Nothobranchius furzeri: one gene and its partner. Each later gene encodes a partner of the first gene's protein in a complex. Links are inferred from orthologs where the notes say so. Each region holds a gene or a part of one and is shown in the gene's direction. Other genes may lie near its edges.

Evidence for each region. Proteins that work in one complex are often made in the same cells at the same time.
Region 2: the proteins of rpl8 (region 1) and riox1 are in contact, whole or in part, in a crystal structure (PDB 4CCN), measured with the Homo sapiens proteins. The link is inferred for Nothobranchius furzeri from reciprocal best matches to the Homo sapiens genes RPL8 and RIOX1. Residues at the interface, in NP_000964.1 of Homo sapiens: Gly213, Gly214, Asn215, His216, Gln217, His218, Ile219, Lys221, Pro222; in NP_078920.2 of Homo sapiens: Gly259, Gln260, Arg272, Thr274, Arg297, Met322, Ala323, Gly324, Ser325, Asn326, Tyr328, Phe337, His340, Asp342, Ile344, Ser374, Asn376, Thr419, Ser421, Thr422, Gln424, Tyr577.

Annotation. Positions count from the first base shown.
Region 1 is NC_091754.1:29,838,141-29,842,342, reverse strand, and holds the start of rpl8 (large ribosomal subunit protein uL2), read left to right. Parts: upstream 1-1,295; 5' UTR 1,296-1,376; intron 1,377-2,005; 5' UTR 2,006-2,011; coding exon 2,012-2,149; intron 2,150-2,224; coding exon 2,225-2,366; intron 2,367-4,202. UniProt on the Homo sapiens protein: Component of the large ribosomal subunit. The ribosome is a large ribonucleoprotein complex responsible for the synthesis of proteins in the cell.
Region 2 is NC_091742.1:9,307,518-9,311,644, reverse strand, and holds the start of riox1 (ribosomal oxygenase 1), read left to right. Parts: upstream 1-1,313; 5' UTR 1,314-1,330; coding exon 1,331-1,447; intron 1,448-1,571; coding exon 1,572-1,715; intron 1,716-1,799; coding exon 1,800-1,936; intron 1,937-2,261; coding exon 2,262-2,361; intron 2,362-2,468; coding exon 2,469-2,600; intron 2,601-2,702; coding exon 2,703-2,809; intron 2,810-2,878; coding exon 2,879-2,986; intron 2,987-3,249; coding exon 3,250-3,284; intron 3,285-3,410; coding exon 3,411-3,589; intron 3,590-4,127. UniProt on the Homo sapiens protein: Oxygenase that can act as both a histone lysine demethylase and a ribosomal histidine hydroxylase. Specifically demethylates 'Lys-4' (H3K4me) and 'Lys-36' (H3K36me) of histone H3, thereby playing a central role in histone code.

The DNA of each region.
Region 1 (4,202 bases):
CCAGAGATTTGAGAGCCCAACTCAAAGTCCCCAGACTCTGCTTCCTCACTGGAAGATGTGACGGTGGGATTAAGGAGGTCTTCGAAGTATTCTGCCCACCGATCCAAAGCGTCCTGAGTAGAGGTCAGGTATCTTATTTTGAAATATCGAAGGTGAAGTAACATTTCAGGAGCGAATAAGAAGAGGGCGTTCCCATTTTTGGAGGGTGCGTTCTCACTTACAAACCAAACTCCTTTTAGTGGCTGGCTGGTGTCAGTACCAGATCTGCTCGTGCAGCCAGATCGGCTCGGGGTACCGCATCTGCAAATTACGTCACAGTAGATGATTGGCTGAACGTAAGACTTGCAGAAGTTACGATACCACATCCGTAAAAGTTATGTTAGCACATTGACAATGATGATTTTGATTGGTCAGAATGAATTTACGGTTGTAGTCTTAGTGGCTGTAGTCCTGTAGTCCCAAAATCAACACTTTTCGGAGAAAATGTGTTTGAATTTCCAAAGTAAATGTAAAATAAAATGCAAAGATATCAACTGATATCAAAGTCTCAAAAGCTCTTGATTTTTATGAAATATAGGGCAAAATAAAATTTAAGAACTTTACTGAAAAGACACCAAGCAACATTTTGAATGAATGAATGAATTAATTAATTAATTAATTAATTAATTAATTAATTAATTAATTAATTAATTAATTAATTAATTAATTTACATAGCAGCTAAGGAAAAATACAGACTAATTCCACATTTATACAAACAGATGTGGCTTCACATATATGAACTGTTGTCTTTTTTGGCAGTCTGACGGTTTTATGTAGTTTCACGTTCTGTATAAAACAAATATAATATGGTGTTTTATTAATAAATTACAATTATAAAGAAAACATTTAGGTAGTAGCAAACAAGAATTTATTAACAAAACTGCTGATCTGGTACCAGATCTGACAGATGATATTTATCACTGCACACAACCATTGTGTAAACACTGTTACATAGATATAAATTGAATTGTGTTTTTAGGTAAACGAAATAAGAAAAAGACAAAGACTTTATTATTGTAAAAACGATAGTAATGATTTTAAAGGTTTTGTCACCAAGCACCAACAAAGCTCAGAATTGTTGTCTACAAACCTGAGTGACTTTTGAATAAAATTGAATAATTGCAGACAACAGTTGGGATCCTGGCCTTCTCTAATCAGAATTAAACAGCATTTTGAATATTTTTTGAGTTCCATACAACTGCATTCTGAATTAAATTGACCATCTGTCTAGTTCGCGCCTTTAAAGAATACATTTCCCATCATTCCCTTAGTAGTTTCCCCGGAAGAAAACGTGCGATGTTTCTTTGTGCTTCCTCTTTCCGTCAGCGGAGTTTAGGTACGACAGCTATTTTCTGCTTCTCACCGTTTCATCGCTTGTTAATCATGACTTTTCTGTGTCATCCACATCAAACTAATACTTATATGTGTACACAAAATGTTCACATATTTAATTTAGGTAGCATTTTAACAGTTGGCTTGTCAAAAGCTATATTAAACTATTTTAAGTGCTTGGTGACATGGCGGAGTGGTAGCGCTGTTAGCGACTAAAAGGCCGGCTACTGTGCTTCACCAATTTGTGTTTTTAAGATGTACGGTACTTTAATCAAGGCGATGGAGAAATAAGATTGTAAATTAAAAGACTACACGTAAATCTTCGCTCACTGTTTAATGAACGGTGTTAGCGGTATTAGCTACTAAGCTAACACCGTAAAAGATGTTGTGGACATGTGAAGTTAAACCTGCTTTCATATGGCCCTAACAGCGGAAATATATAATAGTTTTTCTAACATTCCCTCTGTCAAAATCTTAATGTTTTTGTCCCAATACCTCAAACGTTTATGTAAAATTGACTATTAGTTTAAGAGTGTTTAAAAATGACAGGGTGAGCGTTGTTAGCCTTGCAAAGCATTGATTTGTAAAATTCCAATTAAATGTGGCCCTGAAGTACTCTGCTGTCTGTTTCAGAACACGATGGGACGTGTGATCAGGGGACAGAGAAAAGGTGCAGGCTCTGTGTTCAGAGCCCACGTTAAGCACAGGAAAGGTGCTGCTAAACTCCGTCACATTGACTTCGCTGAACGCCATGGTTACATCAAGGGGATTGTGAAGGTGGGTGATGCTTCAGAACTGGTTTTGGTCTTGTAGAGTGAGGCTGGTGTGAAGTTTTATACCTGATCCTCTCAGGATATCATCCATGACCCTGGCCGTGGTGCTCCCCTTGCCAAAGTGGCTTTCCGTGACCCATACCGGTTCAAGAAAAGGACAGAGCTCTTCATCGCTGCTGAGGGAATTCACACTGGACAGTTCATCTACTGCGGCAAGAAGGGTACGAAACTAAAGCTCCTTTCACTATTTAGATTTTGCATCCCAGGTACCCTTCACAGGTGCAGTATGTAAGAATAAAGTGAGCATTTTACAGTGAGAAAATCTCAAAAGAGTCAACATTTCAGTCATTTTGGAAGGACGGTTTTACTGAAACATATTTCATATCTAGATGGCTGTGAGGAATGTCAGTTTTTTTCCCTTTCAAAATAAAGGAAGGAGGGACATAACTACTTTTTACCATCAGTGAGTGTATATAATCAACAATGTTGATTATATATTTCTTCATCAAGTTGACGCAGTGATAGCTTGATCTTGTATTGTTGTTGTGTCCCATAATTTTTAGTTTTTTTTTTCTTGCCTCTTTCTGCAGGTCTAGAAGCAGACTCTTGTTCATTATTGTTTATTTTTGTGGACCCCCTTCCCCCTCTCTTCCCACCTTTTGTCTTTTCCTTTCTCTTTCACCTCTGTCTCCATGTTTGGTCGGAATTACAAAGCATTTAAAAACAATAACAAAGTTTTAAGTATCAGGCATGACATTAGAAGCAGACGCTTTGATGATCCACCTGAGAGTAAATCTGTAAGGCTTGTTACCAGCATTCAGACATCAATTCTGTTTGCTTCACAGCCAGACGGGACACGGTTAAAAAATAATAATGAGAGTTCCCAGACCCCTTCTCTGTGCAGAATTAAACAGAGGAGTCTGGCAGGCCAGGCTAGCCTGGTAAAGTCATAATATGCAAATTAAATGAGTGAATTTGCTCCCAACACAAACTTAAGTCTTACTGAAGATTTTTCTCTTACAGTTCACCTTTATCTCTATTTCCAAGCCACAACCTTTTGAAATTGTCATGTCAAAATTAGGGCTGAGTGTTTCTGGAAAGTAATCTAATTGCAAGTTTTTTTCTTCGATATTGCAATTGCGATTTAATTCATGATTATTTTCAACTAAGGAAACAAAAAAGAATTGGCATCCCTGTGGGTTTTTCCATGATATTAGCATTGTGCTAACCACTCGCTGCCAGTCAAATCGCAGTCTTTGTGATTAGAAAATAGTCACATCGCAATTTAATTGCATATGCAGTCAATCGTTCAGCTTGAGTCAAAATTAATTATGATCTTGAAAAAAAACTGGCGCCCAAATGGTTACGTTTAAATCTGGTCTGTGAGATTCCTTAATGCCTGTTTTCAATTGTATAGAACATTTGATGGTCCAGCCCTAAACAATTGGGTACATTTTCCAGAAGACCTTCACAATCTTCTTCAAAGGATATGCAAAATGTAGCTTTATGCAGACCTGTCTGTTAGCTGATTAGAAATACAATAATTTAATCAAGGTGTGTACTTGTTTTTCAATTTGAAGCTGTGCGAAAACTGTTAATTTATTCAGCTTTAAGAGGAAGTTTCACTGGTGTCGTGCTTTGCTTAAAATGAACACTTTTGTTGTTAAATCACATTCATGTTTGTTTTTAAATCTTCTCCTGTGTGTTTGGTTTATTTTACAGAAACTAATTTAGCCTCAATATAGGGCTGGGCGATATGGCCTCAAATCTGTATTGTGATATAATCTGAAGCATGTGCAGTAACGATATATATTGCGATATATTTTTTCCTCTGTTTATATATGTCAAAATGACATGCTTTTAGATATCCTCATGTGGCAAATATATGCCACTTGAGGCATATAGGCCTCCTCCTCCGCCCACTCCATGCTTGCAGTCACCGCCATTCTGTTGTCCCATTGTCAGCAGGGTGCTCATCTTAGTGACGTCATGTGTTATCGCGGTATTGCGATATAGCCAAAAACTATCATTACCCAATTTTATATAGTTTCTACCTT
Region 2 (4,127 bases), on another chromosome or scaffold:
CTGGCTGATGTGGCTGAAATCAGAACGAAGCAGACCCCGAAGCGGCCGCAGAAAGCAGCCGAACTGCCTTGATGTCCCGATCAGAATTAAAATGAGGACATCATGTTTCAGTGGTGAAGATGAGAGAAAAGACATAAGCAGCCATATGTCTCATTTGGCCTGTTAGCCAGCAGTGGTCACAACAAAATGTATTTACTCAGGAGCGACGCTAGCTACAGAGGCTACTTACCGCTGAGAAAACGGTCCGGTACGTCCCGAAAATGAGGTAAAACCACCCGAGGGGTTTGACGAACGGTAGAAATATCCCAGGGTATATTCAGGACGACTAGAGTCCCCGGACAAGCTTGTGGTATCGCATCGTTTCCATCTCGCAGCGTTCAGAGCTCCATTAAAAGCTGCATTGTTGGAGAGACGGCTGGACGCAGCAAAGCATTATGGGAAACGATGCTCAGAGATCTGAGCCTTCAACGCACGGGTGAAAACAGGAGAAACCGCACCCCCTGGTGGTGGTTTGGCGTCTCTACATAAAGTGTCTTTATGTGTAACCAAAAAAGGATAAAAAATGTTTGTATTTCTGCTTTGTTTTGAAGAAGGTCATCAAAATGTGATCGACTAATAACAAAGTGAAGGGAAAAATCACAGTCACATATTTCTGACACTTCTACGGCCTCTTTACCTGCTTTTACATAAAAAATCAAGATATTATATTAACAATGATAATAATAATAACAGTAATTGTATTGTCATTGCACACTAGGCCTACAAAGAAACGTGACTAACAATTAATTTCCTCTTATATCCAAACCCCAAAAGGCCATACAAATAACAAATACAAAAAGACTTAGCGAAAATACATAATACATTAATACATAAACATAAATAACATTGCATACTGTAGCAGTTATTCAGCTTTAAATAATAAGACAGCTAATATTTTGTTGCAGGTATTTTATGGGGAATTTGGTATTTCTGAGCCATGGACAACGTGTTTTGAATCTGAAAATTGAGTTAATCCTTTATAAAAAAATATATACATATATGCACACACACACACACACACACACACACACACACACACACACACACACACACACACACACGTTTGCAACTTAATACGTTCAAGACAGCAGGGATGAAAGAAGAAAAAAATATTTATTTGTTTAGCTGACATTTAAAATTGTCATCTGTTTGTTTATTCGTTTATTTATCTTTGTTCAAATGTGAAAAATTCTGTGTTTGCGTCTGTAGTTTATGACGCGATTCTTTAGGGGGCGGTAGTGAGTCAATAAAGACATAGATCTACAGAAGGGTTTACAGAAGAAACCGTCGCATGGTGATGACGTCTGAGCAACTGGGAGAAATGGAGAGAAAACACATGTCTGCCTTTTCTCTGTATCAAGGTCTGCGGCCAAAGGGTCCACCTCCTGCTGAGAAGCCCTCCATCCAGGTGCGAGTGTTTAACATTTATGTCGACTCCACATTTCCCGTTAATTTAGTTGTTTCTCTGCACTTTGTTTTCTCCATCATCTCGGCTGCGTTTGGTTTTTGCCCTCACATGTATGATTCATCAGGTGGAAGTGAAGAAAAAGAGGAAAGTTAGTGCGGCTCCAGCTGTCAGTGTTAAAGCGTTAAAGGCAAAGAGGAAGAAGTTCCGGCAAAAGCTCCTGAAGGCAGCCCAGAGAGAGGAGTTCCTGCCGCCAGTGACCGATGCTAAGGTAAGGATGCGGACCTGGTGTTTCAATGAAGATACTGAATCACCTGTGGTAACAATACTTGTGTGTGTGTGTGTGTGTGTTTAGGAGGTGCAGAAGTGTGTTATTGGAGAGTCTTTAGAGGCTGTTCTGACTGAGCTGGCTAAAGTCAACAACAGCAGGGAGAGAGCCAGGAAGCTGCTTCAGTGGATCATGAGACCCGTTCCCATCAAAGACTTTTTCAGGTAGTTTTTATCAACTTGATTCGACCACACTGGAGCTCCTCTGTTGAACCATCATTTTAGTGTGTTTTTATGTAACTGCACATCACAATCACACCCCCCCCCCCCCCCCCCCCAAGTCATTTTTTATTTCTGTGGCAGACTGACCATAACTGCTACAGGAAACCCTCCAGAGTGAGATGCAGCTTTATATAACAGCTGGTTGGATTTAGCATCAGAAATAAGAAGGATGCAAGGATTGTTTCAGTGTTTTAACTAGAAAATTAGGTAAAATGCAAGACATCACGTGCAGATTTTTAAAAGACACACTGCCGTTTTCTTTTTTAAGAGAAACCTGGGAAAAGAAGCCCGTCTTTGTGCAGCGCAGCAATCCAGATTACTACAAGGGTCTGTTTTCAACGGCTGAGTTTGATCGCATATTGAGGGAGGTAAGGATCTAAAAAAATCTCAGAATAATTATCAAGTTCTATTAGAATTTTTTTGCTAAAAATGTTATTAACATTGAGCCAGTTAGATAAAAACAAAACTCAACCAGAGAGCTTTTGCTGTAAAGGAAGATGTTCAGTATGGCGTGAACCTGGATGTGACCAGCTACGTTAACGGCAAGAGGGAAACTTACAATCCCCCAGGAAGAGCTCTGCCCTTCACCGTGTGGGACTTCTATGATGTGAGAACAGTGCAATAGTCTCATTTATGATCTAATTGCTCTCGGTGCAGAACTGCAGCATGATGTAAACGTGTAAAGCTAGAAGTGGTTTTTGTTTTGTAGAGCGGCTGCTCGGTCCGCATGCTGAATCCTCAGGCGTTCTCCTCCACCGTGTGGAACGTGCTGTCCATCCTCCAGGAGCAGTTTGGCAGCATGGCAGGAGCCAATGTGTATGTTTCAGAAGTCTGTTTTTGCCCAATCTCAGTTTTAAATGTTTTAATTATCTCTTATATAATCAGATACCTGACACCGCCTGGAACTCAAGGCTTTGCTCCACATTATGACGACATCGAGGCCTTTGTGGTTCAGCTGGAGGGGAAGAAACATTGGCGAGTTTACAGCCCGAGGTGAACTAAAACAGAGTCAGCTTTAGATCCTTTTAGCGTGCTAACATTTTACTAAACAATTCTGGCTAAATTTGAAGTGACATTTGGACGCATTGATGTGTTTTCTTTTGCCTTTTAGTGTAAAAATGTCAGAAATGCACTAAATAGTTTTGATCTGGTCTAATTGATTCATTTTTGCCTCTGTTCCTAATGGACAACCATCTGAGTTAACATTGATTTATCACATGGATTCTTTGTTTTTACTTAGTTTTTCTGTGTTCTAGATCGGAAGATGAAGTTCTGCCCGTACTTTCAAGTCGTGAGTAAACTGTTAGCATGATTTCATAGAGAAAATGGTTAGGTTTTGTTATGTGCAGCAGTTTTATCTTTTAAAGCTTTGTTGCAAACGTTCCTCAGAAGATTCTCCTTTGGGATATTTCCTCAGCTAACTTTGATCAGTCTGACATCGGGAAGCCGATCCTGGACGTGGTGCTAGAAGCCGGAGATCTCCTTTACTTCCCCCGAGGGTTCATCCATCAGGGCGACTGCCTTCCAGAAGCACACTCTCTGCACATCACGATCTCATCGTACCAGAAAAACAGCTGGGGGGATCTGCTGCACAAGGTTAAAACTAGTTTTCCAACTCTGCTCTACTTGTTAAGATAACGCAGCACAGCCGTAAATGTTTATTATTGGGATTTAGGCCCTGTCCACACGTAGCCGGGGATCTGCCAAAACGTAGATATTTTTCGACGTTTTGGCCTGTCATCCACATGAAAACTGAGTTTTTTCACACGAAAACGGATCTTTTTAAAAACTCCGGCCAAAGTGAAGATCTGCGTTTTCTCCGTTTTGGGTGTCTGCGTGTGGACAGACAAAACCGGAGTTTTAAGGTCCGCAACGTCACTTTCCGCGACAAAAAAATGCTGACATCACGTGTGCGACCTGTGTTTACACTAGCCGACAGCATGGATGCCCTCAGAGCTGCGCTCGCTTTATCAATTGTCCAAGCGCTTTTTGCTTGTTTGTTTTTGCAAGCGGAATTACTGCTCCTTACGGAAGACCACAGACGAAGGAAGAGGTTAAGAACGGGAGAAGTACTGCCACCTACAGGTCTGGCATGTCCTTAACAACGTATTTATCCGGGTACGTGTGGACAGAG